Linked DNA regions of Caenorhabditis elegans. The protein of the gene in region 4 interacts with the protein of the main gene of each other region in a pairwise test. Each region holds a gene or a part of one and is shown on either strand. Other genes may lie near its edges.

Evidence for each region.
Region 1: the proteins of let-391 (region 4) and rbr-2 interact in a two-hybrid assay, tested with the Caenorhabditis elegans proteins (one large-scale study listed by BioGRID).
Region 2: the proteins of let-391 (region 4) and elt-6 interact in a two-hybrid assay, tested with the Caenorhabditis elegans proteins (one large-scale study listed by BioGRID).
Region 3: the proteins of let-391 (region 4) and ceh-9 interact in a two-hybrid assay, tested with the Caenorhabditis elegans proteins (one large-scale study listed by BioGRID).

Annotation. Positions count from the first base shown.
Region 1 is NC_003282.8:10,916,716-10,926,239, forward strand, and holds the start of rbr-2 (Lysine-specific demethylase rbr-2), read left to right. Parts: upstream 1-3,354; 5' UTR 3,355-3,391; coding exon 3,392-3,535; intron 3,536-3,578; coding exon of another isoform or gene 3,579-3,585; coding exon 3,586-3,717; intron 3,718-3,976; coding exon 3,977-4,413; intron 4,414-4,641; coding exon 4,642-4,829; intron 4,830-4,878; coding exon 4,879-6,889; intron 6,890-7,052; coding exon 7,053-7,240; intron 7,241-7,286; coding exon 7,287-7,582; intron 7,583-8,013; coding exon 8,014-8,669; intron 8,670-8,714; coding exon 8,715-9,013; intron 9,014-9,392; coding exon 9,393-9,475; 3' UTR 9,476-9,524. Other genes in the region: ZK593.3 (High-affinity choline transporter 1-like), read left to right, coding at 1-62, 570-850. UniProt on the Caenorhabditis elegans protein: Histone demethylase that specifically demethylates 'Lys-4' of histone H3, thereby playing a central role in histone code. Does not demethylate histone H3 'Lys-9', H3 'Lys-27', H3 'Lys-36', H3 'Lys-79' or H4 'Lys-20'.
Region 2 is NC_003282.8:1,915,034-1,922,885, reverse strand, and holds elt-6 (Transcription factor elt-6), read right to left. Parts: upstream 4,910-7,852; coding exon 4,769-4,909; intron 4,335-4,768; coding exon 4,218-4,334; intron 3,715-4,217; coding exon 3,498-3,714; intron 3,344-3,497; coding exon 3,117-3,343; intron 3,054-3,116; coding exon 2,865-3,053; intron 1,829-2,864; coding exon 1,754-1,828; intron 1,682-1,753; coding exon 1,544-1,681; 3' UTR 1,242-1,543; downstream 1-1,241. Other genes in the region: Putative transcription factor egl-18, read right to left, coding at 5,526-5,762.
Region 3 is NC_003279.8:564,071-569,697, forward strand, and holds ceh-9 (Homeobox protein ceh-9), read right to left. Parts: upstream 2,519-5,627; 5' UTR 2,322-2,518; coding exon 2,171-2,321; intron 1,811-2,170; coding exon 1,623-1,810; intron 1,475-1,622; coding exon 1,370-1,474; 3' UTR 1,214-1,369; downstream 1-1,213. Other genes in the region: Y65B4BR.1 (Lipase_GDSL domain-containing protein), read left to right, coding at 539-1,040.
Region 4 is NC_003279.8:6,035,552-6,042,375, reverse strand, and holds let-391 (C2H2-type domain-containing protein), read right to left. Parts: upstream 3,974-6,824; 5' UTR 3,946-3,973; coding exon 3,919-3,945; intron 3,840-3,918; coding exon 3,727-3,839; intron 3,682-3,726; coding exon 3,603-3,681; intron 3,553-3,602; coding exon 3,352-3,552; intron 3,258-3,351; coding exon 3,139-3,257; intron 2,835-3,138; coding exon 2,522-2,834; intron 2,111-2,521; coding exon 1,912-2,110; intron 1,712-1,911; coding exon 1,401-1,711; 3' UTR 1,109-1,400; downstream 1-1,108. Other genes in the region: szy-5 (C2H2-type domain-containing protein), read right to left, coding at 262-702; C27A12.4 (C2H2-type domain-containing protein), read right to left, coding at 4,895-5,813, 6,051-6,176.

The DNA.
Region 1 (9,524 bases), on a different chromosome or scaffold from region 4:
GGCATCAATCAAGCTTTTGCTCTCATATACTGGAACAGAAGACTTCAGAATTGTTGGATTCAGTAAGTTATAGTATTTGGAAACAAAGGACAATGATAAAACAACTCCTTCTGGGAAATTCTAGGGTTAAAATTCAAAAACAAAAAATTATTACGAACTATACAAATTATTTTAATTTTGCTAAATCTTTCGCACTTGGTGTATATCCTGAGAGTTTTCGACTCAAATGTGGAACGACAAAGAAAAATATTAGGCGAAAAATTTTCAGTAGTCAGGTGGAACTAGGTGGAACAAAAGTTTTGCCAACATACCGTATATTCTCTATTAGTGGGGCACCCCTTCGCTCAACTTTGACGGATTTGCCAATTTATGAATTCAAGTTGCTTTTTTCGGCCAAACTTTTAGACGAAACTGCCCCTAAATGCCGAGATTTTGGAGTAAACTCCTTTTTTTTAATTATAGCGCTGTAGCATATGCCGGTTAAGTTTGCTCTATACAGACAAGTAGACAGATATGTTTTGCCTACATAAAATAATTTTCCTAATCTGGCATTAACTACTGAATTTCAGATGATGTCAACGTATTCTTCCTCATGGAACTTGGCTCAACTCCACTTGCAGTCATAAATCCACGTGTCTGGTTTGGAATGTTTATGTGTTCTCTTTCATACATGTCTGTGGAGACTGGATATCCAACTGTCGCTATTGTCACTATTGTTTCAATGCTCATTATTGCCTACGCAATGGAGTATGTCGATTATAGAAAGAAGCAAGAAACTGAGAGAACCGCTGTCTACCAAATTCTTCCACTTGTCGATGAGAAGAAGTTCAGAGAACAAGAAATGATCTAACAATACTTTTCGTGTTTCTAAATGCTTATTTTAGTCAAATTGACTCAAACTCGAGTGATTTTATCAAAGATTTCAAACTTGTATTTTATGCCTCATTTTCACATTCTGGTTTTTCTTGTAATTAAGGTACTAAACTATAAAACTATATATTTTATTGACTCTTTTCATATTTTACTATTGGATATGTATATCAATATTAAACCCTCATAAACTAAACATAATTGTCTATTTTAGAGTTGAAGCCAACATTCTCTGGTGTGTATGGTTAAACTCCATGGCAACCCGACAGCTGTTCTTTTTGTTTTTGCACGAACACTTTCTGATTAGATTCTGAATATGCGAAAACGCCTGCTCGTATAGCATTTCCATTTCAGAAAAATTCGGCTAGAAATTCAACATTTTAACTTACAGTAGCTCATTTACTGTTATATTGCAATAATCTCTATTTATTTTCTCGGCATTCATCCCTCGAAATCTTTTTCTTTGCTCGAAATTGACTGGGAATTCTTGAAAATTATTCAGGAAAGTCTGAGTAGCTAAGAGATAAATCTTCAAAAAGGAGAAGAAAAGTTATATATGTCCAGGAATGGGTTACTGTAGTCATATGCTGCTTATTCGTATGTTTTTTTGGTGGAGCGGCAGCGATTTTAAGGTCCTCCGGTTCGCGGTGAGAGCTGTTAGTGTATATTTAGAAGAAGTTTTTTGAAAAATTCAGTCAGATGGACACTGATATCTTCTCGGAATACAGTAATCTTTGTGTGAAAAAGTTATATATTTTATTAACGATTTATCTTAGAAAAATTGTTAACTGTCAAACGAATGCTCTGAACATCTGAAAATCGTGCACTGTTCAATATGTTACACATTTTCGCTTTAAGTTCCGCGTTCAGCCTCACTTTCTAACCACGTCTGTGATTACACGTCTTCAGCGTTCGGTCATAAACTTCTGATTCTCCCTCCGTTTCGTCTATTTGTCGTAAGAATGTGTGTAGTCGTGTGAAACAAGTCTTTTTCGCCCTTTCGTTTTTAATCAGCTTCTTCACACGCAGACAGCTGATTCTGCTTTTGCAGTTATAATCTATGTCTTCTCATTCTCTCGCGCGCAACCATCGTTTATTTCAAAACGGGCGCATAATAACTTTTTAATGAGTTTGATTTAGTTTTGAAAAATAATATTCACATTCCTTAGAAACTATGGAGATTCACAATTCGGCGAAATCAGTTTCTACATATTACTGTGTACTTTTTACAACTTCTATGATTTTAAAGTGGCGAGTTTATGCGGAATGGTCTCGCCACGCTCTGCGATTTTTTTTTCAGAAATCTGGTATGTGCGCCTTTAAGATTACTGTAGAGGGTTTGCTGGCAAATCTCCAATTTTCTCGTTTCTCCCTTTTCTTCATTTTCGATTGTTCTTTTCCCAATTTTCTGTATTTTATGTAATTAGACATGCCAGAAAAATCTCTACAGTCATCTTAAAGGCGCACACGCCAATTTTTTCATGAGTTCGCAGTGCGTGGCGAGACCATTCCGCATTGATACGCCTCCCTTTAAAACCGTAGTAAACAAACACAGTCTCAAATCTTCAATTAAAAATGCTGGCTCTCGGAGCCATAATTCCATGTTCTCTTTTTCTCTCAGTCTGTGTTCATTTTACATGCGTCTTCCTGCTTTCTCTTCGTTTTCTTTGTGTGCGCCCATCTTTCCTCAGCTGCTGGCCTCAAAAAAAAGTTAGTGCAAAAATTCACGTATTACTAGGAGGCACATGCGAGAACGCGTCGCGCACATAACATGAATAAAGTGTGATTGGGCAGGAGACCGAGAGATTATTGCTAGCGAATAGCATGCAAACAGAGGAGTGACAAGACGACGAGAGTGGACACTCGAGAGTAATGTTCGGCGGAGCGCACTTTCCTCGATTTTCGTGGGCCGACCCTGGTGGGCGCTGGGGGCTATTTCCTCTCGGTTTTTCGATTTTATCTATATTTTTTTCTGTTTCTCCGCTTATCTTTACCGCACGCAATTTCTGACGAAAAGGACACCGACCTACTGCAAAGTGGTCAAAGAATACCAGTCTCTCAATGCATTTTAGGTGACACATCAAAAAGATTCAGAGAGATGGAGTTTTCAATGATTTGAGTTACTATACGATGCCTTACGTGTCTTGACCTACATTTAAAACTCTACCAAAGATCCTTGTCTAAACTTTGAAAAGCTGCTCGACCTCAAAAATTGGAGAAATATATATATTTAAATATGAGTCATTTTTCAGCTTAATTATTTATACAATATTAAGTTCAAATCAAAAGCTTAATAAGAAAAAGCTTAAAAGCCAATTTTAAAGGAGTATAAGCTAATTTTCATTTCCGGGTTTCTATGACGTCTATCATAACACTCGTGATGCATCTTGTTTCATCACATGGAAATTTCTCGTCGGTACTTAAAATGTTCTTCTTCTCAAAGCTTTTAATTTCAATTAATATTAAAGTCAAACAAAAATGAAATTTACAGATCTCATGAAGCTATAAGCCAAACTGAAAAATGCGTGCACGTCGTCAAGAGAACAGTATCTCGACGCCGTCAGCACCGTCGACGAGCACTTCTCCGCGGAAGAAAGCATCCATCGGAAATTCAAGATCTAAGAATCATGGAAGCAAAATGGAAATGTACGATCAATTCTATAAGGTTTGATTACTAAGACATACATAAGGTGAATAAGCTTTCATAGTTTTCAGAAATTCGTACGACCTCCAATGGCTCCAATTTACTACCCGACAGAAGAAGAGTTCTCAGATCCAATCGAGTATGTTGCCAAAATACGACACGAGGCCGAAAAATTTGGAGTTGTTAAAATTGTTCCGCCGGCGGTAAGTTATTTATTCGGAAAATTGTACGTCTGACGTTTAACAAGTTTTTAATCGTTTTTGAAAAGTCTGAAAAAAAGCGAAACAATGTTTGTAGTAGTTTAAAAACTTCTACTACTCCCTTCAATTAAATACTAAATATTAGAAAATTTTCAGTTTACTAAAAGAATGGTCACCACTTGAAAAGTGCAATTTTATCTGAAAATTTTTGATTTTTCCCTCAAAAAACGAATCGAGAAGCATCAACTCTCTTTTTTTGCAGAATTTCAAACCACCGTTTGCTATCGACAAAGAAGCCTTTACATTTCGTCCCCGAACTCAAAAACTGAATGAAGTGGAGGCAATTGTCAAAGAGAAACACACATTTATTGACCGATTAATCAATTTCAATCGATATTCTGGTCTAACTTTTGAGTTTCCAGTGGATCGAGATGGAAATATTGTCGATTTGTATCGATTACATCGTATAGTTCAAAACTTTGGAGGATGTGAAGAAGTGAATGAAGATGAAAAATGGAGAGACGTTGCCCGCGAATACCTTCCAAAGGAGCAAATGGCTCGCGGTGTTCCGTCGGCTTTCATAAATTTGATTCGATCACATTATAATTTGCACATTGAACCATTTAATCGAAATTTGAAAGAAAAAGCGATGAAAAATGATGATGAAAGTGATGATGAAATGGAAGAATTAAAGCATAAGTGAGTAATTAAGAAATTTAAATAAATAAAAATCTACAAATCAGTTAAGAAAACATAATGTAGATGGATTTTTTTGAAATTATATGCATTTTAAATTTTTCTTATGTACCCATGTTTTTGTTTTTTAGAACCATGAAAAAATGTTAAAACCGATAAATAGTAAAATTTTTAATTTTGTTATTAATAATTTCCCCCATTATTCTAATTAAAAACGAATGAATTTCATAGATATCAACATCACCACGGAACTATGCGGACAGAAATAGAAGTTCCAAATGATAAAACTACTGAAGGAGGGGAAGATGAGTGTCCAGTGTCGATGCAAAGTGGTCGACGGAGATCTAAAAATAAGAAGGCTTCATCTTCAAGAAAGACTCTTGGAACATCTTCAAAGAAGAATTCAACCAGAGGAAGAAGTTCGTTTTTTAAATTTAAATTTTTTAAATTTATTTTCACAAATTACAGAAAATAAGAAGAAAGCCGAAGGAGACGATGATGATGATGAAGATCCAATGGATCAAGTATTCTGCGTTGCTTGTAATGAAGGAAAGGATGAAGATCTACTACTTCTTTGCGATATTGATGGATGCAATAATGGTCGTCATACATATTGTTGTGATCCAGTACTCGATGAAGTACCAGAAGGCGAGTGGAGATGTCCAAAGTGCATTGAATCAGAGGATGCAAAAATCGGATTAGACTGGGGATTTTATGATGCGGACACAGAATACAATCTGAACTCATTCACTGAATTTGCCAACAAATGGAAATGTGATTATTTCGGTGTAAAAGATGTATCACAAGTGTCGTGTGATGCTGTGGAACGATCATTCTGGAAGAATGTAATTTCACACGAAAATCCAGTTTCTGTCAAATACGGTGCCGACTTGATTACGAGTCGAGTAGGAAGTGGATTTCCTCGAAAAGAAGATAAGCACACTGGCCCAGATCTGAAGCTGAAGCAGCAATACGCTTCACATGCATGGAATCTGAACAATATGCCTGTACTTCGAGAATCTGTTCTCTCACATTTTAATACTGGAATTTCTGGAATGATGGTACCGTGGGTCTATGTTGGTATGTGCTTCTCGACGTTCTGCTGGCACACCGAAGATCATTGGACGTATTCTGTTAACTATAATCATTTTGGAGAACGGAAAATTTGGTACGGTGTTGGTGGAGAAGATGCTGAAAAGTTTGAAGATGCATTGAAGAAAATAGCACCTGGATTAACTGGAAGACAAAGAGATCTATTCCATCATATGACTACAGCTGCAAATCCTCATCTTCTTCGTTCATTGGGAGTTCCAATTCATTCAGTTCACCAGAATGCTGGTGAATTCGTCATTACATTCCCACGTGCTTATCATGCTGGTTTCAATGAGGGACTCAACTTTGCGGAAGCTGTCAATTTCGCTCCAATTGATTGGCTATCAAAAGGTCGAGAATGCGTTGAGTCTTACTCAAATGTACGAAGATATCTTGTATTTTCTCATGATGAGCTTCTCTTTAAAATGGTTGAAGCAATGGATAAACTTGGAATTTCGATGAGTTTAGCAACACATGAAGAACTGATAAGAATATATGAAAAACAAAAAATGTTGAGAGAACTTCTCGCTCGCCTCGGAGTTTCCAATCGCCAAATGCAGCAAGTGATGTTCGAAAAGATTCCAGATGAACAAAGATCGTGTCGTTTTTGTAAGACGACTCTCTTCATGTGTGCATTGGTTTGTAACAAACACAAGAAAATGACTTGTGTTGAACATCATGATCATCTTTGCAATTCGTGTACAACGAAAGACTACAGATATCAGTACAGATTCGAGTTGGATCAATTGAACAATATGTGTGATGAACTTGGAAAGCGTACGGTTAACTACAATGGATGGAAAGAAGAGTCGGATGAGATGCTTGAAGAAGAAGGAAAACCAAAACTCGAGAGAATTGAAGAGTTTATAGATTCTGCCAAACAAAACAAGTATCCACAGACAGATCAAGTTCATAAATTGATAACAATTCGTCATACAGCCAAGAGTGCCATTGAAAAAGCAAATCAATTGCTCTTTAAGAAAGTACGAACGCGAACAAAAACCCGATGTCAGAGAGCCGACACTCGTACAGACACCGAGGGAGTACGGTCATTGATTGAACAAATGCAAGCCATGGATTGCAATTTGACTGTTATTATTGATAAACTTGAGAAATGGATGGAACAAGTTGAAATGTGGAGAAACAGAGCAAAAGATGCTATCTATCGAGAACAAGAATACTCAAAAGAAGAAATCGAGAAGATTATTGAAGAGGGAGATGAATATGATATTAAATTGGAAGAAATCGATGAGTTGCGAAAAGTTATTCAAATGAAGGATTGGTCGGATAGAGCAAGAAAAGTTACTACATGGAAGGCAACTCCCGATATGGAGAAAGATATTGATTTTGAGTATAAGCTTCGATATGCATCCAGTGATATTTTATCGTAAGATTTTAAAAATATTTTTTCTCTTAAAAGGAAATTTGTGTTTGTGGATTTTTCCTCGAATGGGCTCGGCCCAAAACGACCGAATTTCATGATGAGACCTTAAAAATATTTCCAAATACTCTATACCCCTTTAATTCAAAAATTCAATTATATGTTTCAGATTGATTCGTGATAGTCCACGAAATCCCACAGATGGTACTTCTAAACTCGTCTTTGAACTTCAACAAATGCTCCGTGACGCCAATACACTCGAGGTCATTGCAAACAATTTCTGTGAGAATCCAGCACTTGATCAGCTTCAATCAATTTGGCAAAGCCTTAGAGAAACTGATTGGTTCTATGAAAAATGTTTGTTATTTAATGCATTAGTAATTCTTACAAAATAATTTTTAAGATATTAACATGGTTCGCTATGAGATCATTCATGTTGCCAAAATCAAGTCAATGATAGATGCCGCAATTCCCGTGCTATCAGAATTTGATTTAAAAACACAACTGCAGAAAATTGTCAATGTTGAAATTACACTATCGAAGGCGGCCGAAATCAGTAAAGCATTCGAAACTTCAAAATGTCTAAACGGTTCCGAAGAGCATCTCGGGATTTTGGATATGATCAGCACAATGAATGCATTTACTCAGAGGATAGCTATTCTGTTCAAGCCAAATAATGCGTATCACAATCTTTTTGAAGTGAGTGAGATTCGTGAAATTTGACGATTTTTCGCAAAAAATACGGTACCCGGTCTCGACACGACAATTTTAGTTAAATACAAACGAATGTGCGCCTTTAAAGATTACTGTAGCTTCATAATTTCGTTACTGCGGAATTTTCATAGATTTTTCATAGTTTTCGTTATAAATTTATTTATTTAATAAAAAACTATGTTGAAATAATTAAAAACATGAGACAAATACTAAGAAAAAAAAAGAAAAATCAAGGAAAATTTCGCAGAACCAAAAATTTGAAATTACAGTATCTTTAAAGGCGCGCACCTTTTTAAATTAAACGAAAAAATTTCGTGTCGAGACCGGTGACCGTATATTTGGGTAACATTAATCCAATCAGGAAGTAGCATAGACATTAGCTTCGATCTAATTTGCCTTAAACTTGAATTTTCCAGATTCTCTCCGAACGCGATGATTTAACTCCACTTGCTGAAGGACAAACGATACCATTATATTTTCAAGGAGGCGCAGTACATCCATCTGATGAATGGCATCAAATGAAAGAATTCGAGTCATTAGATCAAATTGTGCATCATCAATCATCGCTACGTGAAATGCAAATGAGAATTTTTGAAAAGGTGAAACAAGCAAATTCAGCTCGTGGTCTTGAAGCATGCTCATGTCTTGGATTCAACAAATCAGATGATTCCGAATCAACACTGACATGCATAATGTGCGATTCAGAGTTTCATGTTCGATGTTGCGAGTGGTCACCGTTCCTTGAAAAACTTCCAGAAGGATGCTTTTTATGTGTTCGATGTCTACGGGGACAACGTCCAGTCATTGATGATGTAACAACTGCTCTGAATGGAACACCTTCTGGATGTTTGGAAACACATCTTGTTCGAAATCTAATACAAAAAACTCGTGGAATCACTCAAAATTTGATGGAAGCTGCTAATAAACGGAAATCAGGAGAATCCAGCGACGATATTTGTAAAATTGCCTTATTCGATTGGCTATCGTGTGAAATTCTGAATCCCAATGGTCTTCCGAAGGCACGCGAGCTGATTTCAGAATTTTATATGGAATATCTTCAAAAACAGTCAAGGTTTGTACACATTATATGTATTAATTTTATTTTTAATTTTTTCAGCGCCGCACTAGAACTCAAAAATCGCCCGGTTCGTTCAAAACCATCGGTATCACTCTTCGATCCAAAAATCACAGCTAAACGCAAAAGGCCAAGTGTTTCACACAAAGAGACGTCGAAAAAATCACGCAAACGTCAAAGTCAAGCATCACCCAGTGAATATTACGAAGACGAGTCTGAATTCAAGTCGTGTCAAGCTCGCGCCTGTTTGAAGCCATATGGAGACTCAGTGAACTGGGTGATGTGTGAAGCAGGCTGCAAAAACTGGTTCCATGTGATTTGTCTTGGATTCACTCTGAGAGGTAAATTAAGATCGGGTTTTGTGGTTTTTTGGAAAAAAAATTTAATTGTAAGGAGAAAAAAAAACGAACCTTTGTTTTGTGACAGACCTGATCTCAAAAAAAAACTTTGTGCCAAAAATACGGTACCCGGTCTCGACACGACAATTTTTGTGAAACACAAACGGGTGTGCGCCTTCAAAAAGTATACTGTAGTTACCAACTCTCGTTTCTGTGGGATTTCATTGTCGTAAAACTTTAAAAAATTTTAAAAACTTCCGCGTTTTTATTTACTCTTTAAAGGCACACAACTTTTTTGCAAGTAAAAAAAATTGCCGTGTCGAGACCGGCTACCATATTTGTTCAATTTTGCGTATTTGCTAATTTAACAATTTTTTTTCAGAAATTAATGACATGCACGAGTACCGTTGCTCATCCTGTCTGGATCATGCGGACTCTCCAACTTCGAGTGTTTCCACCGATTGAACCAGATTATATATTGCTTCACCAGTATCATATTTTCTAATTAAATTTA
Region 2 (7,852 bases), on a different chromosome or scaffold from region 4:
ATAATCATGACCCATTTCCATTAGTTTCCGAAATTCTTGGGTCTCGCAACGAAAAACTACAGTAACCCATTGAGTTTCTCGGCGGGACCCTTATATGGTTGTATTCAAATTGAAGCTCTCCGATTGATGAACTCAAATGTTTCATTAAGTTGTTAAAATTTTAAAAAAGTCAGGGCCCACCACGAAAATCCCCGGGTTACGGTAGTTTTCATGGCGGGACCTTGAATTTGTCAAATTTTGGATTTTTAAACATTTTTATAAGATTTTTTAATACTAATTTTAATAAAATTAAAGTTTTAAAATACGCTGAATAACAAAATAACTGTGAAAATTTCAAATATTTGCGGAAATTAAAAAAAAAATTTAATTTTTTTTGTTTATTAAAATAACAGTTATTAAATATACTTGCTTTTAACTTTCAAATCTAATCAGTTGTAATAAGGTTTCAAAAATATTGGGTCCCGAAACGAAAACTCGTGACGGGACCAAAAATTTTTGAAAATTGATTGAACATAGACATAATTATACTTATTTTAAAACACTTGGCCAACTAATAACAGACATAACAGTGACACTCAAAAAACATCGGGTTTCTGTAGGTTTTCGTGGCGGGACCCAAAAATGTCCATTTTTACAGATATATTTGAAATCAGCTCACTAATAGCTTCAATTTAAGTCTTATCATGACAAATTTGGGTCCCACCACGAAAGTCACGAAAGTAACCCGAGGGATTTCGTGGCGGGACCCAAAAATTTTCAAAACTATCAAAACCTAGCCATGATTATACTTATTTTGAAGCTCTCGGCGAGCTGAATCTAGGAAAAATACCAAAAATTGAAAATCCAGAGGTTTGGACAAATTTTCAGAATTTTCGTTTTGAGACCCAAATTTTTTTTCAAATTTCGAAATTTCAGATTTTAAGGTTTTTATGCAATTGAGAGATGTTAATTAAATATGAGCTTCCCATACTTCTTTGAAATTTGAGAAAATTTGGGCCACCACGAAAGCCTACAGTAACCCTGGGAATTTCGTGGTGGGATATAATTTTAAACATTGAATTCATCAATCTGAGAGCTTCAATCTGGATACAATAATGTCATGTTTTCCTTTGTAAATTACAGGGTCCCGCCATGAAGTTCTCCGGGTTACTGTAGGTTTTCGTGGCGGGACCCAAAAGTTTCCCCTTTTTTAAAGCTTTCATTGATCTGAAACTAGCTTAAACCTTTTTAAAAGTTTCCTTCCTGCATGATAATATTTATTAAAGGAACATGGATATGCACACAAATAAACTCGGTGCTGGGATTATTCTGTTCAGATATTGCGACAAAGTGAAAGAGACCTGCACTTCTAATAAGGGGGAATACAATAAAAATTTAAATTGCAAAAAAAAAAATGTTGAGATTCTTTGTTTTTTCAGAGACCACCGCAGGGGTCAGTGGGATTTTTTGTTGGAAAAGTGAAAACGGAAATACTGATAAAGCTCACAGTTGATCGGGAGGGGACATTGGGGGATATATCACACGAGATAATAAAATATAATAATCAGGGAGACTTGCGCTGCTCCTGTGACTGATTCAACTGATTAATTTGCTCGAGAAAGGTCAGCGCGTTGGCTCCACCGTTAGCCATGCTCGGTAGGCCGAGAAGTTGACTGAAAACGGCTGCTTGACTGGTTGCTGGCTGAAAAGTTTAGAGTTTTTTCCAAAGAGTTTTTTTTTCGCTGGAAAAAAATTGAGCAAAACAACGGCTCACATTTTCATCTTCCCTCATTCTTCTACGGAATCGCTGTTGGATAAAATCTTTTCGCATGTGAACCGGCCGATGTGTCTGAAAATTTGTAGAGTTCAGGGGGGAGAATATTGAAAAATGAGGTCTGAAATTGGGTCTCTCCACAGATGAATCCTAAACGTTTTAATGCTGCGAGTTATTTGGTTCAGTTAGGGCTCACAAACCGAACATCCGGTTATCCGAATGTCATTTGTCAAGGTTTTAGGTTCCAGACTTTTCGGACGTGTAGTTTCTCAAAACCAGCGGTAACATCAAAAAGTAGTTCGGGGGCCTAAGCTTAAGCCTAAGCCTAAGCCTAAGGCTAAGTTTCAGCCTTAGCATAAGCCTAAGTCTAAGCCTCAGCCGATGCTTAAGCTGAAGCCTGGGCATAAGCCTAAGCCTAAGCCTAAAACAAATCCTAGACCTAAGACTAAGTCTCAGTCTGAGCTTAAGACTAAGCCTATGCCTAAGCCTAAGCTTAGGCCTAAGGCCGAGCCAAAGCCTAAGCCTGAGCCTATGCCTACGCCTAAATGTAGGCCTAGGCCTAAGCCTAATATAAGCCAAACCTAAGCTATAAATCCCTTCTCCAGATTCATTCAATACTTCCCTTAACTCGTTAACTCGCTCACACTTTTGGTTTTTTTCCTTCTTTCTCTCTCTCTCTCTCTCTTTCTTGACCACAAAAACCATCATCAAGATCCTCCTCACTCACTCAAAACCCATTCAATTTTCATCGATAATTAGTCGTCGTAGTCGGAAACGACCTTTCGAGATGGGTAGTGGTGGTGGTAGTGGACCAGTAGCTAGAAGTAGTACATAACATCAGCAGCCCCTATGGGTTTCTAAGAGGTAATCGGAGGACGAGCGTACGCGCAATCTTCTAATTATCTTTTGAAACGCGACGACGGATATATATATATTGTCAAGGTTGTGTGTTTTGAATTGGGTCAACACTATTGAAGCTCCTTTTTTGGTTTTTTGAGTGCTAGCTAGGCGTCATGTACTTCTCTACAGTAGTTATGGGCTCAATCTCTGTAAGAGTTTCCAGCAGTAACCACTGTACCTACAGTAACCCTCAGATTTTCAGCCAACTCACCCTATGCAGCCTATAATACAATCCACACGCGTTACAAACAAGCTTCCCCTCCAAATCCCTTCGCCACGCTGTCGTTTTTATTGTGGAGCAATTGGAGCATTTCGAGATGGACGAGTTGGCACTTGTATCGTCCTCCGAGCTACCAGCCGCCGCGGCGGTGGATGCGTGTACTGTTGGTGATGGTGATTTCTGGAATTTAGACTTGGTTTAGGTCTTGGTTTAGCAGTCTGGTCTGAAGACTATGCTACTAACCCCGTTGAACTGCATAGAGAGCTGATCGAGCAGAGTCTGCTCAACAGACGCACTTGGCGATTGGTTTCTGTTCTCCGACGGTTCCTGCTGCTTTGACTCTTCGGCTTTTACGGGCTTCTGCTCTCTCGCCTGCTGTTGAGCATGGTGATGAGCAGCGGCTTGATGTTGTTGTTGCTGCACAAGGTTTAGCAAGTTCATCATATTTTGTGGATTGGCCATGGGATCGACTAAAAAGTTTTCAAAGATTTGTACAAAGATCTTGGGATATCCTGCGCAGGTAGGCATGGCAGCTCTTTCAGGTCTTTTCCAAGGTCTATGTGGTTCTATTAAAAGCTTTATCACTCTAAGAACCTTTATTTTTCTAAAGTCAATGAAACTTACACACAAACCCGTTGAAATTCTGAAAATCGGGAAACGGAGAGCTCGCGGAAACCGGCGTCGAAATATTCCTTGTGATTTTCTCAAAAGGCGAGTCACTACCTCCATTCTCCAAATGTCGATTCACAGATTCTTTGGTGGGTTTCCGTTTGCGGCACCCTCCATTCGACTTTCCGACTGATGACGGAGAAGCACGGCTTTCAGTTGGTGATGGGGGATACTGAAATTTAAAATTTTCGTGATTTGGTCTTCTTGATTTCCAGAAATTACAATTATGACATGTGGTATCAGAGTGTCCCATCTCGGTTTGATCTACGTGTAGATCTACGAGAATCGCGAGAATTCGGACGCAGACTTCTCAACTGATTTAGCACGGTTAAGAACGTGCTGACGTCACATTACTTGAAGAAACAAAGAAAATCCCGCATTTTTTTGTAGATCAAACCGTGATGGGACAGCCTGGCACCACGGGACACAGCAGGAAGTTATGATCAACGTGGATGCAAAAATAAACAAGTTTCTTGGGAATGGCTCAGAATCGCGAAAAACTGAGAAAATAACTTTAAAACAGATTCAGTTTCTTTCTCGAAAATTGTCAGGCGGCGGGAAAATGCTGCGAAATAAGCTCAGTTTCAGCCCATTTTGGCTTATTTCTAAAGTTCCACCAGCTCCTTCCCGCAGAACTTTTGCAACATGGCCGCTAAAAGTTGTCAAAAATCTCACCTTCTCCTCGCTTCCGCTCTCGGACATTTGCTCAAGCAGGACTTTTTCCTTTTCACTGATAAGAGCTTCAAGCCTTCCGCACACTTCGTCAATTTTCGACATCATTTTTGAAACATCCTGTAAGAAAACGAATAGACCGGAGCTTTCAGCGCGGCGATTCAAATTCCTAGAATTTCAGAAATTCTCAATGAAATGAAAAATAATTTAATGTTTCTGGTAATCCGAGAATTACTTCATGTATGCCTGCCTATCGGCATTTGGCTCTAGTTGGCAATTGGGCAAAACTTGGGCAAAACTTGGATTCAGGCTGCACCAAAGTTTCCCCCAACTCTTACCAAACTTTGGTCCAAAATTTTCTTTTTTTTAGTTATACTTGGGTAGAAGTCTGACCAGATTTTAGTTTTGCCAAAGTCTTGCCCAACTTTTGCCCAAGTTTAGCCAGCTTCTTATCCAAGTTAATATTTTTTAGGCCAAACTTGGGCAAGAAGCTGGAGCCAAATGTCGAGAGTAGGCAGGCGCGTGAGCCTACTGCTAAACAAAATAATATGCACCTGTCGAATATCCTTGTGAAGCTGAGCGCATCCGGTGCACGCTGCTGCTGTAGTCGCCGTCTCCTCAACCCGATCCTCCATCTCCTCCTCCACCTCCCGGCTCACCATCTCATCCGGCATCTCCTCCTTCGACGACGTCATCTGTAAATCACGTGTGACGTTGTTTTAGAAGAAGAAGAAGTGGAGAGCGAGAGAGAGAGAGAGACGGAGAGAGACTGTGGAGCGAGGGGAGAGTGCGAGAGAGCGAGAGGACGAAGTTAAAAGCTAAAAGTGATAGAATGAGATACATACGTTTATCCGTCAAAAACCACAAGAGATAAGGAGAGAGAGAGAGAGTGAGATGAGATTTTTTCAAAATAAATATGAAAATGCAAAAATGATGATTCAAGTGAAATGACAAAGTGGTGGGAGGAGGTGAATATAACACAACCATGCACAGAGAATTGGGGGAGGGGCCTCCTGCAGAATGGGGCGGAGCCTAACTATTATTATAAGTTGTCGGAGGAGGAGGTAAAGCTCACAGTCGGAAACACGCGGTGAAGTTGGGGGAAATGGGGCACAATTATTATTAGAAAATTGGCGGAAAATTATTTAATACTGTATTTTTCTGAAGGGGTAATGGAATGATGAAGGATTGCTTATTAATCAATAATACATTATGGAGAATTTCAAATTTCAAATTTCAATAAATAAGAAAAATTACATAAAGGTATTGTGCATAAAAAGGATGTGAAGGGGGAAAAAATAATAATGATAATTAAAATGTGGCACTGCTATTCATGAGCTCTTGAGCCTGCGTGAATTGCGAGATTTGCTCGAGTAAATTGAATGTGTTGATGGCTCCATCAGTGCTCACTCCGCCGGTCGCCATCGTCGGCATTTGTGTGAGGAGTTGGTTGAAGATCTGTGTTGCCGCCGACGACTCTTTTTCCTTGTTCTTTCGGCGGTAGCGTTGTTGGATGTGGTTTTTGCGCATTTCTATTGGTCGGCGAACCTGGAAATTGGAAAATGAATTAGTTGTTAAGGTGGGAAGGATCTGGGTGAGCTTTTGGAAGGATCCTTAGGCATTTAGGAGCTTCTAAGAGGGGGGGGGGGGGTACTGTGAGGATCCTTAAGATCCTAAGTATCCCAGTGTGGTTGATCGCCACAATCGATCGCGCAGAAATCCAAGCAGCATAAGGGTCAGAATTATCTTATCAAAGGATTCTGTAGAATTGTAGATTTTCCCAGAAAATTCAGATCTCAGGATATCGGTGGAAAGATCCTTCGGATAGATCTTCGCGCTGGTAAATTTTAGAAGGATCCGCAGATGATGTGAATGTTCTTACTAGAGGCTGTAGGGGATCCTAGCGATGGAAGGATCGGAAGGATCGGAGGTCTCCTTTGGCTTAAGCTTCGATCTAAAGACTTCCGGTTGTTCTAGCATATCAAAGAATTCGTTGGGATCTCCATTATCACCAAGCTTCTGTCCTAGATAGCCTCACCGGATCCTAAGTCAGATTCTTGGATCCACCTGTCTCCTAATCAGACATCTGGTCTGTCCGGTCGTGATCGTCCCGTTTCCTGCACCGCCAATTATCATTTCTCCCAATTTCATAACCTTGGCCATATTAGATACACACACACACATCCATCTAAGGGCGGAACGTTCTTCTCAATTTGCACACACAATAGAGACAACAATAGGGGTGGTGGTGGTCTTCCATCTTCGGAGACGGCGGCGGGGTGGGCAATTAGGGTGAGAGTGAGTGTACGTGTATCAGCAAAAGGAGGGGGGAGATACAAAGTGGTGGTGAGAGGGGGATCACTCCGTAATTGCCGAATTTTTGATCCAGTGGAACTAATGGAAGGTCTTCTTGGGTATGGATCAGCTGATCTTACACCTTACACCGGAATCTTGAGGATCCTCGAATCACTGGAACCAATGAAACTTCTACAGATCATCAGAATCTTGAGCGATCGCCTCAAGATTGTTGGGATATCCTTGCTAGGTTATTCTCTGATGTTCCACCTCGGGAATCATCGACCTATTCCAGGAAACAGTGAAGCTCTGGTGCTTCTTAAGATCCTCAGAATCCTCAGGATCCTCCCTACAACTACCCCCGCCGCCAAAGTTTCGATATGGATTGGCGTGCGGAACCAAAAAGTCATTGGTGATGATGATGACGACGTTGAGGCTGGATTGTTTGCGCGCGCACGCGTGCACTAGTTTCATCTCCCCCTAATTGTCGGTGCCGGTGGTGAACAATAAGACGTCGTCGTCGTCGTTTCTTCTCCTAAAATGAATAAGAAAAGGAAGAGGTGGAAAGTCTATTCGAGTTACAGGTAATCATTGACTCGTCTCCTTCTGCGGCACGCACGCCGCCGCCGCCGCCGCCGCAGCCGATACGCTAATTATCGAGGTGGAGACGACGACGATGACGACGACCACATAATGGTTGAAGTGATGGAAATTGAAAGAAAGGTAGATACTGTATCGATGATGATGGAGATGATGATGATGATGAGGTGGAGAAGGTGGAGGTACTGTACTTTTGACCTACTGGGGTGGTAGAGTTCGAAATTCTTGATAATGCGGGGATCTTCAACAAGAACCAAGTAACTCAGAGCTTCTGATAAGGATCAGGATCGCATATGGGACGATCAGATGATCTGAAATCTTCACCTGAAGCCCAGGATTGCCAGGCTAAGAGGGTTATCACAGGCTCTCTGGCCTATCTAGGATCACCAGGATCCGAACATTCTCCAGAACGATTAGAGCAGCTTTAGAACCTGGATAGAGCGAATCTTCAGCCTTCAAGGATCGGCAGGACCCGAGAACCTTCTGATAAGATCTAGGATAGCTTGTGGAGCTTAGATCTTAGAGCCTTTAAGGATCAGAAAATCCTAATCTAGCCAAACTGACCTAGAAATCGTCTTCGGATCAATATCAGTCGCACAACTAACACATAAAAAGTAAGAAGACGAAGAAGATGGAGAAGAAGAAGAAGCTAATCTCATATTTCAATCTCCCCTCTCCTTCACTCCTATTTTCCCCTCATTTTGCCGCTATCTTAACTAGGTTGTTTCCTTCTATTCGCATCA
Region 3 (5,627 bases), 5.5 Mb from region 4:
AAATCTTTAAAATTGTGGCCGTTTCCGTGCCAATTATAAATTAAAGTTAAACATATTATCGAAAAAATACGATCGCAAATTTTTCTCGTAACTTATTTTTGATCTACCTTGTTGACTAGGCTCCTCCCCTTCCTTCGACAAGACAGCCACAACAAAATAACAACGGCAACAAGATTATGGGCAAACACGTGGTGCCAGGCTGTCCCATTACAGTTTGATCTACAATAAATGCGGGAATTTTTCGCCCAAAAAAAAAGTGACGTCGGCACGTTCTTAACCATACAAAATCAGTTGAGAACTCTGCGTCTCTTCTCCCGCATTTTTTGTAGATCAACGTAATTCAAGCCAAAATGAGACACTCTGACACCACGTGGGCAGAGTCAACTTCCAAAGGTAGATCAAAAATTAATTATGAAAAAAATTTGCGATCGTATTTTTCGATAATAAGAGCCAACATTTTTCGGCTTTTTATGGAAATTTTTTTTTCAAAAAGAGGAGTATGGTCCATAACTATGCCATCAATACCAAGTCCTTCCAGAACCATCGTATCCATGACCGGAATGTTCGACATGGCCATGCTTCGCCAAATCGACCACGACAAGTATTTCTGCGACGGCCTCCATGTGTTCGAGTGCCCATGCGAGAAGAACAAGGACTTCCCGAATACCGACATCTCGGCTGCCTGCCATCTTTACATGGATGCTCAGCAGGAGATTCAAGACTCGGGAATCTTCGACTCAACAGATGACTTTACATTTGTCGTTCAACCATTCTTCAATGGAATCACAGTTCCACCACTCAAGCCCGACGGAGAAGTCAATCTGGATTGGTTTGCACCGGATTGCTTCCATTTCTCAAAACTAGGCCACGCCAATGTTGCCAAGCACTTGTGGAACAATATCGTTCAACCAGTCGGATCCAAGAACCATCAAGTCAATCTGTCAGATCCTACCATTCCACTAAACTGCCCAGACACCAAGTGCCCATTCTTCAGAACAACTAAGAACAGTGTTGACTGCTCGAAATATATGACTGCCTAGACTGTAGGAAATTGTGTTTGTGTGTGTAATTTGACGTACTTATCGGGTCTGCAATAAAATGTTTTATCGTGTAATCTTTAATTTTTAACGTGTGAGACATAAAAGAAAGAGCACCCTCAATAAAAATATCCACGTGGAGTACACAATATAGCTATCAATAGAGCGAGTAAATATTTTTGCAATAATTATTTATTAGAAGAATGGAGATCAAGGTAAAGGAAGAGATCTTGATTTTGAAAAAAAGATACTGGAAATACTAATTGTTCACGGGATTTCATAGAAGGGGATATATCACGACTTTTTCTTTGAAAAATAAAAACAACATAAAATTATTGCGGCTTCACAATCTGATCATCCGGTATTTCTCCAGATCTTTCCTTTTCCGATTCGATCTTCTTCCACTTGGTACGCCGGTTTTGGAACCAGATTTTCACCTGGAATTTGAGAAATTTCAGCTATGCGTTGAGTGCCGCGTTACGTGCTGCGTTGCGTGCTGCGTTGCGTGCCGCGTTGCGTGCCGCGTTGCGTGCTGCGTTGCGGGCTGCGTTGCGTGCCGCGTTGCGTGCCGCGCTGCGTGCCTACCTGCGTCTCCGTGACATCCAATCGTTTTGCAAGCTCACTTCTGTCACTACTTGACAAATACTTTTTCGCCTCAAACTGCTTCTCCAGTTCGAATACTTGTTTCCCGGAAAATGTCGTCCGCGCCTTCTTTCTCTTTGTTTTTTGACATTTTTCTATAGGAGACTCTTTGGCTTGGTCGAGGCTGGATTCTGAAAAAATATTCTTAACGGCTGATTATTTTTCTACGTGTAGCATTTTTCCGAAATTCATTGAACAAAATTAGTAAATTTCCAAAAAATTTTTTTTCCAAAATTTCGAAAACATTTTAATTTTTTTCAGATTTTCTAATATTTTAAAACAAAAATTGAGAGTAAAGGAAATAAAAATTGTGTCTTGTAATTTTTGTAATTTTTACTCAAAAAAAGGCCAGTGAAATACTATTACAGAAAATACGAATCGATGCACCATGTCAAAAAGAATAGTATTTCACCTCAAATGCACCATGCCCAAAACTAGTCTATTTTTCAACTACAAAACTTCATACACCTAATCCAAAGAAATCAACTTACTGCATCTTCCAAATTCATCAATTTCTCCATTAACAGTTGGTAAGTCAAGTATATCCTTTATCAGGTGACTAGTTCTTCTCTGAGGCTTCACATCAGACGTCAACAGTGCAAAATAGGGTTGAAGTAGTTGGAAGAGCAAGTCAGTTTCCATTTTGCACGAATGAAAAGAACTTCTGAGAGACTTCTCTATACAGTAGGTCTCGAGGTCCCCGCCTTCTCTTCAATCAAATAATTGAAATTCTGGACTCTCGGGGGACTTTTGACGGTTGACGACGACGACAATTTGCCAAAGTGGTCGACAATGATTGCGCAATTGGTGTGGAAAGAAGAAGAAGATGGGTGAGTTCTGAGATGATGACAAAAAGAGCATGAGCCAGCAAATTGAATAAGAGACCGGATTTCGAGAAGGAGGAGGGGGAGAGGAGGATTGGTGGTAAGGGATGATACTTGATGCAATTGAGGGAATGAGTTTCTCATACTTGACTATTAAATACTTTTCTTGAACTTAAATATTTGAATTGAAATTTTGGAGTAGCGGAGGCACATGTGATATTATTGTGCTAATTTGTAATACTTGGACTTTCAAATATAACCTCAATTATTTGAAAAAAACCTTTTGAATAGACCAGCAAGGTTGATCTACAATTTTTCATGGAAATCGAATTAATTTTGTAAGGATGTCTACTGAGTATAAGCTTATTGTTAGGCTTAGGCTTAGGTCTAGACTTAAGGCTACACTTAAATTTAGGCCTAGGCTTAGGCTTAGGCTTAGGCTTAGGCTGAGGCTTAGGCTGAGGCTTAGGCTTATGCTCAGACTTAGGCTTAGGCTTACGCTTAGGCTTAGGCTTAGGCTTAGGTGTTGGCTTCAGAATAAGCTCAGGCGGGGGTGAGGGAAGGGTAGAAAAAAAAGAAAGAGAAATTTCCAGAAATTCACAAAATCCAGAAAAAAACATATCTTTCACAAGTTTATATTTTTATAGCCTAAAAAATTACTTTTAAAATGAGGATATGCAACCCGCACGCAAAAAAACCTTTTTTTTTTTGAGCAATTTCACGGCTCTTTTTTTTTTAATTTAAAAATACAATAAAAAAACCAAAAAAATTTTCCGAGCCCAAATTGCTCCCAAATGCTCTAAATTTCTTTTGAAGTTTGATATATTCCTATTAGAACTTGAGGAAAATGTAAAACTAGAGAAACATAATACTACGCATGTTAAATGTAAATTACTTACTTTTAAAAAGTCGTACGTTATTTTGGAAAGTTTGAGGTTTTTGCATTTTTTCCGTAATATCACTGAACACTTTTATTTAAATATCATCAATTATCGGAAGTTTATAGGTTGCAGGAGAAAAAATATATTCTAGCGGGAAAATGAAATGAGACGGGGGGACATTTTTAACCAAAAAAAAATCAGAAAACAGTTGGTAATAAAATTATTCCAAGAAAGTATAAATTCATGACTTCCATCTTGGGAACATTCTTAAAAAATGTCAACGAATAAATCTTTGTGGCAAACAAACTTTTTCCATAAATGTTTCAGACCTTATATAGCGGACATGAAAGTTGATTGCTTATTTGATATGTCTTGAGTTTATTTTTTTTTATTTCAAGCGAGGGGAGATTTATTTGCCTAGATATATATATAATTATTACTGGAACGAACTGGAAAAAAACTTGGGATCAAAAAAATCAAAAATTCAAATTCAAAAATTCAATTTTTCGAAACTTTTTCTACAGCTTTGTCGAGAAGCAACAGACAAATACTTATAGCTAAAATTTTATTAATATTCTAGTTTTAGTCATGGTGAATCGAGAATTTGTCAATTTCCATGTGGTATCTTAAAAATAAACCGATACACGTGGTGTCAGGCTGTCTCATTGCGGTTTGATCTACGAAAAATGCGGGAATATTTTTCCAGAAAAATTGTGACGTCAGCACGCAAAAATTAATAAGGGTCTAACCAAAAAAACTTGAATCTTGGAAATATTTTTAATTCACCCTAAATTTTCCCCTGATTCCGAATATCTATGTGAAAAAATTCAAAAAAAATTTCCTGAATTTATATTTAAGCTTGAAATCTTTCATAAAAATTTTTTTTTTTTAAATTTCATTTGTACTCGCATCACTTTTTTCAAACTCGCGCCCAAATAAATTAGCGCGCGCGTGCATCGTTTGACTTTTTTTCGTTTAGTTTTTTTTATTTTAGCCGAATTCAATTTTTTTAAAACCAGTTTCATTCATTTTTGTCGGTTTTTTTTTTCTGAAAAAAATGTAAAAAAACGAAAAAAAATCAAACAATGCAAGCGCGCTCCAATGCTAATTTATTTGAGCGCGTATTTAAAAAAGAGACCGGGATACAAATGAAATTCGGCGATTTCAAGCTTAAATATAAAATCTGGCAAACTTGTTTTGAATTTTGAATTTTTTCACATAGATACTCGGAATCAGGGGAAAATTAGGATTCATTCAAAAATATTTCCCAGATTTCGGTACCCCACCTTAAAAATTTTTTTTTGGGAAAACAAGGAAAATTTCTAGCTTGAACTTATTTTATCAATACCTAAAATGCTGAACATTAAAACACACACACCCGTATGAGTATTATATACTTCCAAGGAAACATTTGAAAAATAAAGAGTTCTCCGCTTTGATTATACACTTGTGATATTCTCACGCCTGGCACTTGGCACCAGCTCAAAGTGCTCATTTTGGCTATAATTGTTTGAAGGTATATGAAAAAGTGGAAATTGGGAGGAAAAATGGCATGTTTTGGCTTTCTCTACCTGGCCTATGTGTTAGAAAACTCTTCTATGAAAATTCAGTTTAATTTTTTAATTTTTCTTAATTTTTAAAATTCTAAAAATGGCTAAACTTTCAAAAATATAATTTTTAAAAAGCCAAATACTATAAAATTTCTTTGTTAATTTCTTTATAACCAAAATTAACGATTTTCAAAAGTCAAATTTTTCAAAATTACAAAAAATTTAAAATTACTGTAAGATGCGCAAAAATTACAGAGTTTTCAAAATATAAAACACTCTTGTGGCCGAAAACTTCCAAAGTTCAGGAAATAAAAATTCCAAAAAAAAATCAAGAAAAAAATGTATCTCGAAAAATTACCGCTATTAGAAAATCGCCTTCTCTAAAATTTCCCAAATTTTGAAATTATGGAAATTCCCAGATTTTTCAAAAGCGATCTAGTCGGAGTTGTCAGAAAAAAAGTTCAAGAAAACTTTCTCTAGAAACTCAAAAGTTGGCCTGATCAGAACTTGTTGGATTTTTTCAATTTCCCAAAAAATTTTCAAAGTTGCCGAAAATTACCGAAACTCCAGGGCTCACTTTTAGACCTTAAAATGAAACTTTTGCCATTTGAAAGAGGCTCTTTGAAAAAGGTCTCTGCAAAAAATTTAGCGGCAGACGAGCACTTTGAACTAGAAAAATGTCGCTTTGAAATT
Region 4 (6,824 bases):
TTATTTTTTCATACGATCCATACGATCCGAAAATACGTTAAAAGTCGGATATTCTAGAAGATTTCGTCTAGAATTCCTATGAACTATATGCAAAAATGGCATTTTGATAGTTCTGAATTTTCTAAAATACAAAAAAAAATTGCAAAAGTAAAAGGATTTTTGTGATTTTCAAAATAATCAAGTTAAAATCTATGAAATTTCGTATCAGAAAGTTATTTAAATTTTCAAAAAAAGAATTTCCGAAAAATTAAAATTTCTCACCTCTTCATGTTCATTCTTTTCATAAACATTCAAGAATTCAGCCGTACAAAATGAACATTTGTATGGTTTTTCATGTGCATGTTGCTGCATATGAGTTTTTAATGTATGTGCTTGACTGAAACTTATATTGCAAATTGAACAAACATTTGGCTTCTCTCCAGTATGTTTTCGAATGTGTTCAGTTATTTTTGATGGATATTTTATGTGCTTATTGCATTGAACACAATGATATATTTGTGCCGGTGGTCGTTTTTTCATTCGATAACTTCGATTTGTTGGATCATTTCGACGATAAAGACATTCGGGACGACTTGGAAGAATTTCGACGGATTCGTTGAATTGTTCATATGTAAATGTGGGAATTCGAGTAGTTGGTTGAAAAACTCTAATATTTGGAATTCGAGGACGAGGTAGTTGAGGTTTTACACAAGATTCTGCCATTTCTGAAAATATCGATTTTTATTTTTCGACGTTAATTTTTTATGGGCCTTCCTGGACCTTTAGAAAGTTTTTAGCAAATTAAAAAAGGTATATCTAAAAAAATTTGTTTTGGATTTTGTGAAATTTGAAAAAAACAATTAATTGGTTTTTTACATTCTAAACCCTTTTAAAACATTTTATAGAAAATTGGGCTCAAAAAAAAAGTACCGCTACATTTTTTCGAACTGCTCAAAAATAGCTTGCTGAAAGTTTGAAAATGTTAAAAAAAATTTCAAAATCTCATCTTTTCAATTTTTGCGAAAGGAGAAAGTTTCAAAATATATTGGCAAACAATAAAAAAAAAGCAAGTATAATTAAACAGTAAAAATACTGAATACGGAAAAGAAAAAAAATTTGAAAAATCTGAGAAAAAAAATCTTTATTAAAAAAAGAAGCAAAAAGAAACTCGTAGGTTAACCAAAATAAACTGAAAATTGTGAGAATTAATTCTCACAATTTTTCTAGAATTTGAATGAAAAAAATGGTTAAAAAATGCAAAATTTAATAGTGGCCTAGAAATTTGAAATTTGAATAACTCTTCCATTTTAAAAACTAATTGCTGGGTGGAATAGAAAACTGAATATATGAAGTAGAAAATGCTAGTTACCCTATAAGTTGCCTAGATATTGGAAAATGAAAGAGCTTTTTCAAGTTTCTGGTCAAAAATGAACAGTTTTTTGATCTTCCATGCTTCCTCCTTGCTCCACAAATTCCTCTTCATCATCTTCAAAATGAGCCAAGATCTTGACGTCATCACCATCACCAGTGAGCATTATAATCTGATTGTTCTGTTCATGATCATCTTCATAAACAATAACTGAATCCTGTGATTCCTCGTGATTCACTTGAACATGATCGAAAATTGGTGTGAAGAGCTCGGGATGTGCATTTTTTCGATGTCTCATGAGATATACACGACGAGCAAATACTGCATTACATCCTTTTACAACGCATGTGTAACGTTTTATACCTGGAATGTTTCAAAAATTGTAATTTTTGTAGATGACTACTCTTTTAAATATTTTTGAGTTAACATATTTTCAATAACACTCTTAATTTGAGAAAATTCTAAAATTTGCAACAAAAAAAAATGGAAATTGCTTTCTTTTTCTAAATTACCCCCGGTTTTAACCCAAATTTCGGATAGTAAAATATATTTTGAATATTTACCAGTGTGTACAGTCATTTCATGTTCTTTTCTAACAGAATCCGTTACAAAAGACAATCCACATCTCCAAGTACATTCAAATGGACGTTCTCCAGTATGCATTCGACGAATATGTACTTTTAAAGAGCTCGCTTTTGACAATGACAAGCCACATTCTCCACATTCAAATGGTTTTTCGCCTGTGTGTGTTCGGATATGATCCTGAAAAATGGGAAAGAAATTTGTATTTAAAAATAAATTTATCTTTCTTTTTTTTATTAAAAATTGTAATTTTTGATTTCAAAGTTTAGAAAATTCAACAATTTTCGATATAATAAATCATATTATATTTTTCTAGAAATTTCAGAACTTGAGAGGTTTATAAATAGAGAGAAAATTGGAAATTTTGTTTTTTAACACATTTAAACCTATAAGCTTTGATTTAAAAAATTTTAATTACAAATATTTTTTTCTGTTTGCTCAGAAAATCAAGTTTCGAATGCTTTTTATCGAAAAAATTGTTTCTCTGTCCAATTCTCAATTTTTCAGCAAAAATTCAGCTTGTGGGCACTGAAATAATTTTAATTTTTCATTTTTCACCAAAATTCGTTTTTTATCGAAAAAAAAACTAACAGCAATTTTGCTCGGATGTTTAAGCATTAATCCACAAATATTGCATTGTGCAAGTGTTGCTCTTCGATTTGAAATATATGCTCTTTTCTGAGGAGCTTTTTCTGGTTCTTCGATCGGAATTTCTTCATCAATCGGAGCCAAAACTCGAGCCAATACTGTATTAATAACGTCATCAATTCGAGCATTAGATATTGCAGCTTTTTCCATTTCTTTTTCTGATGGATATATAGATTGTTTTGTTGTTTGATTTGATGATTGAAATTGAGAAGGTGAAGAGGAAGAAGTTGATGGATCACTTTGAAATATTGAGTCTCTGCAAAGTTATTTTAATTTCTTTTAAATTTACCAATTCGGAAATAAGATGGAAGTTTTCGAATTTAGAAATTTTCAGGAGTTTTATTTAAATTATCAAAGTTTTTTATTAATTAAAACACCGATTTTTTAAATGTTGTTTTAAAATTTGTTAAAGAACAAAAAGTGTTAAAATCTCAATTTTAAAGATTGCTGATTAAACACCGCAATTCACTTTTTAAAAAATGTAAAATCTTATAATTCTTGTTTTTTGTTGTAATTTTTATTTATTTTATCAAGTTTAGTTCACTTCTGCATATACTTACATCGTTGGTGGTGATATATAATTAGCTAGTGCAGAATTTGAAAGTATATCCATATCCATTGATGGACAAACAATCTTTTTAACTGGTTTCAGATAAGGCCGTGCCGGTCCTGCTCGCTTCTGCAAAAAATATATCTTATTCCGGTAATCTTTTAGGATATAAATGCTTGATTCGATGTTTTAAATTTTTCTATAGCATAAAAACTTTTCTTACCAATCCATTATGGCTTAATTCGTGTGCAGTTCTGCGTGAATTATTCACAAATCGTTTGCCACAACCGAAATTACACAGAAATGGGAGATCACCCATGTGTTGAACACGAAAATGGTTAATCATTGGAGTTCTTTGAGTGAATCTCATTCCACAAATGTCACATTCGTATGGTTTTTCGCCTGTGTGAGTTCTCATGTGTTCCTGAACAAATAAAAATCTTCATTTTGTTATAAAAATAAAATATTCTGTACCATAATCCTCGATGGATATTTCAACGCAACTCCACATACTTCGCACGTCGTCACCGTCGGCAACTTTTGATTTCCTTTCCTTCAATTTTATATTTAATAAATTTTTAGCACAAAAATTTCATACTTTTTTCTGTATGTCGAATCTGGAATCTTGACAATCTCCTCGAGCTCTTCGTGCTCTTTTTGCGCGTCGGGAGTGCACTCAGCTGCCCATTCCTCGAAAATTGCATCGGAATTCTGAAAATTTTTGATTTTCTTAATGAAAATTGGAAAACTAAATTGAAATTAGTTATTTTACTTGCGATAAATGTACTACTTCGTCTAAATCCTCGTTATTCTTCATTTTGGTTGTTTATCGAATTTTAGGATCTGGAAAAATACACAATTAATGGCAATAAGGAAGATTTAATCATATAAACATAAAAATTTTAAAGATTAATAATATTTATATGAAAGGAAAAATTCAACAAAAACTGTTTTAAATAGAAGAAAAAGTCAAATATTGATTTTTTGCGAATAAAAAATAAAATTGAAAATAAACAACGACACTCCGATATCCCGTCTTCGAAAGAGCGCGAAATTTGAATTGAGGGTTTAATAAATATAATTCTTTGCAACGGCTGAAATCTTGTTTCTTAACGAGACAGAAGAAGAAGTAATGAATAGATCATTGCCATCACATCTTCATTTCCATTCAAATATTGGAGTTTAATCTTTAAATTGATAAAAGCCGTTCGGATAACATACGAGTAGAAAATGTTCATAGTGAAACAGCAGCACGTTGATCATGCAAATTCATAAGGAAATCAGGAAGTTTTACGAGTCTAAGAAATAGGCGAATGTTTTGTGTTGTGTATTGAGCGTTAGACAAGGAGATTTACGTAGATAGAATATTTTACTTTTAACGTAGATAGAATATTTATTATGAACATACGAGAAGGAATGTGAATAAAGGCTCAATACTCGAGAAATCGAAGAAAAAGAAATTGAGATGCAACATGGAATTTAATAACGATCTCCGTGATGGCGTGAGCGATCTCTTGAATAATCCCGCTTTCTTCTTCTATAGTCACGACGATGGTGATGCTCTGAACGTCTGGGGGTCCACTCATCTGTCGAGGGGCTTCGGCGACCACGCTGTGAAATTTACAGATAGATTTAGTTGGTTTTTTCGCATGATCGAGGAATAAACTAGGTCATTTTGCAAATTACTCACCCTCTGGTTTCTCAATGGCGATTTCGGTGTATGTTCCCTGTTACGTGGCTGGTGTCCTGCTCCACGTCCCCGTTGATTAGATGGAGACATCGGCGATCGCCTTGAGGGGCCCTCCTCCCGCTGCTCGGAGACGTCTGAAATGTTTGAAATCGAAACGATGGTCTGGGACCGCTTTGCTTCCGGAGAGATGAGGTTCCGGAATCAGCTTGTCCACAGCTAGAGTTGACAATGGTGCACCGAAAGACGAAGAACTCGCCCTATTCCCAAAAAAGTTCCCAAAAGCTGGCTGGGCCAAGCGAGGAGTGGAAGGACCTGTAAAGTCGAAGCTGCCTTCTCCAGATCTTTCCTCGACGGCTGGGATTGATGACCCGGAGACCGCACGATCGGAGAGGAATCCTAGACGTGCTGGTGCAGATGAATCTTCTGGCGCCTTTCCACGTGAGCTGGTAGGAACAACATTCTCTAACCGTGACATAGTCACAGTCTTGATGAACTGAACATCAGGAGATGAGGAGCCATCTCTCTGAGGCCCTCTGGAGTCTTTTGGGAGCTGGCGTACTTCGCAAAAACCCATATTTGGTGCAGGGCTCCTTGTAGTAACCTCTTCTTTAATTGGAAGAGCTGATGTGGAAGAACTGTTGAGCTCTACATCGATTTCCGGAACCTGGTGGCTGTAGGATGTTTTCTTCCTCGAGATCTGATTGAAACACGGAAGATCATCATAAGCAGGAGTTCCTCCAGTCCTCCGAGTGTTGTGGGCATAATTGGAGGAAGTCCTATGCTTATGGTATTCTTCCTTCGATATAACCATAAGAAATACGTTCAGCGACCTATGACGATCCACCGATTTATCTCTTCCTATCGGAGGAAGTACTTCCATTTCCGCGGTCTTCGAGGTGCACAGGTCTCCATTGGTGACGCTGTGATGGTTGTAGAGTTGGCTCGGATCCGTGAGATCCATGCAGCACTTCTTGCAACGGTAGAGGTAAGTCCTCCTGAAATTAAAATTATGTAATATTACAATGTAACATGGTGGTATAGAAAATGAACCAAAATCAACGTTATTTTTCTCAAACTTGCAAGAAATGGCTGAATCACATTTGAATTCCCGCGCAATTGAATGCACTAGTTTCAACATTTTTGTGTTTTCCGGCTAATATTTTCTTGTCCCTTCAGATAGTTGTCTAGTCCGTCAAACACTCTTCCATTTTTGCATTTTATGAAAAACTTACGTGTGAGTGCCCATGTGTGTGATGCAGTCAGCAAGGGTCCCCACGAACCCACATTCTCTTCCCCTCACGTCCATGGGGTACTTGCAGTACATGTGCATTTTGTTGGGGGCATAGGACGGCTCCGAGCTGAAATATAGAATAGTGGGAATACTATTTTTTTTCCTTAGTTTGGTGAGTTTCGAGTTGAACAACTTTGCTGCGAGACTCAGGAAAAAAACGAGAGAAAAGCTGACACAATTCATTTGTAATATTCCCCACCTAAATGAAAAGCACTTTTTCCGAAGTTTGTTAGGGGTTCAGCAAACATCTACCTTAGATCGGGTGACAACAGTCGAACGTGATATCTCACTATAATAGTACCGTAGTTAATGGGAAGGGTACGGTATGTTACATTAAAATTACTCATGGATACGGTGCGGTAAAATGGGTTAATGTAGTAAATGGTATGGTAGGTTAAGTTAGATTTATTTACGGTATGGTACAGGGGTGTGCGGCAAGTTCGGCAAATTCGCCGCACCCCCCTGGTATGGTGCTAGGGTGCACTACAGATTACGGTTTTAAGAAGTACTGTAGGTTAAGATACCTTTCTATAGGGGAGGCCGGTTACGAGTACGGTAGGCTACGGTTTGATACCATAGGCTAGGATACTATACATACTGTAGGGTAATATTGGCTACGGTACTTCCAGGTACTATGTATATGTGATTGTGAAATATTTCAAGATACTATGGTACTGCAGGATATATAGGCTACGGAACAATAAGTAATAATACA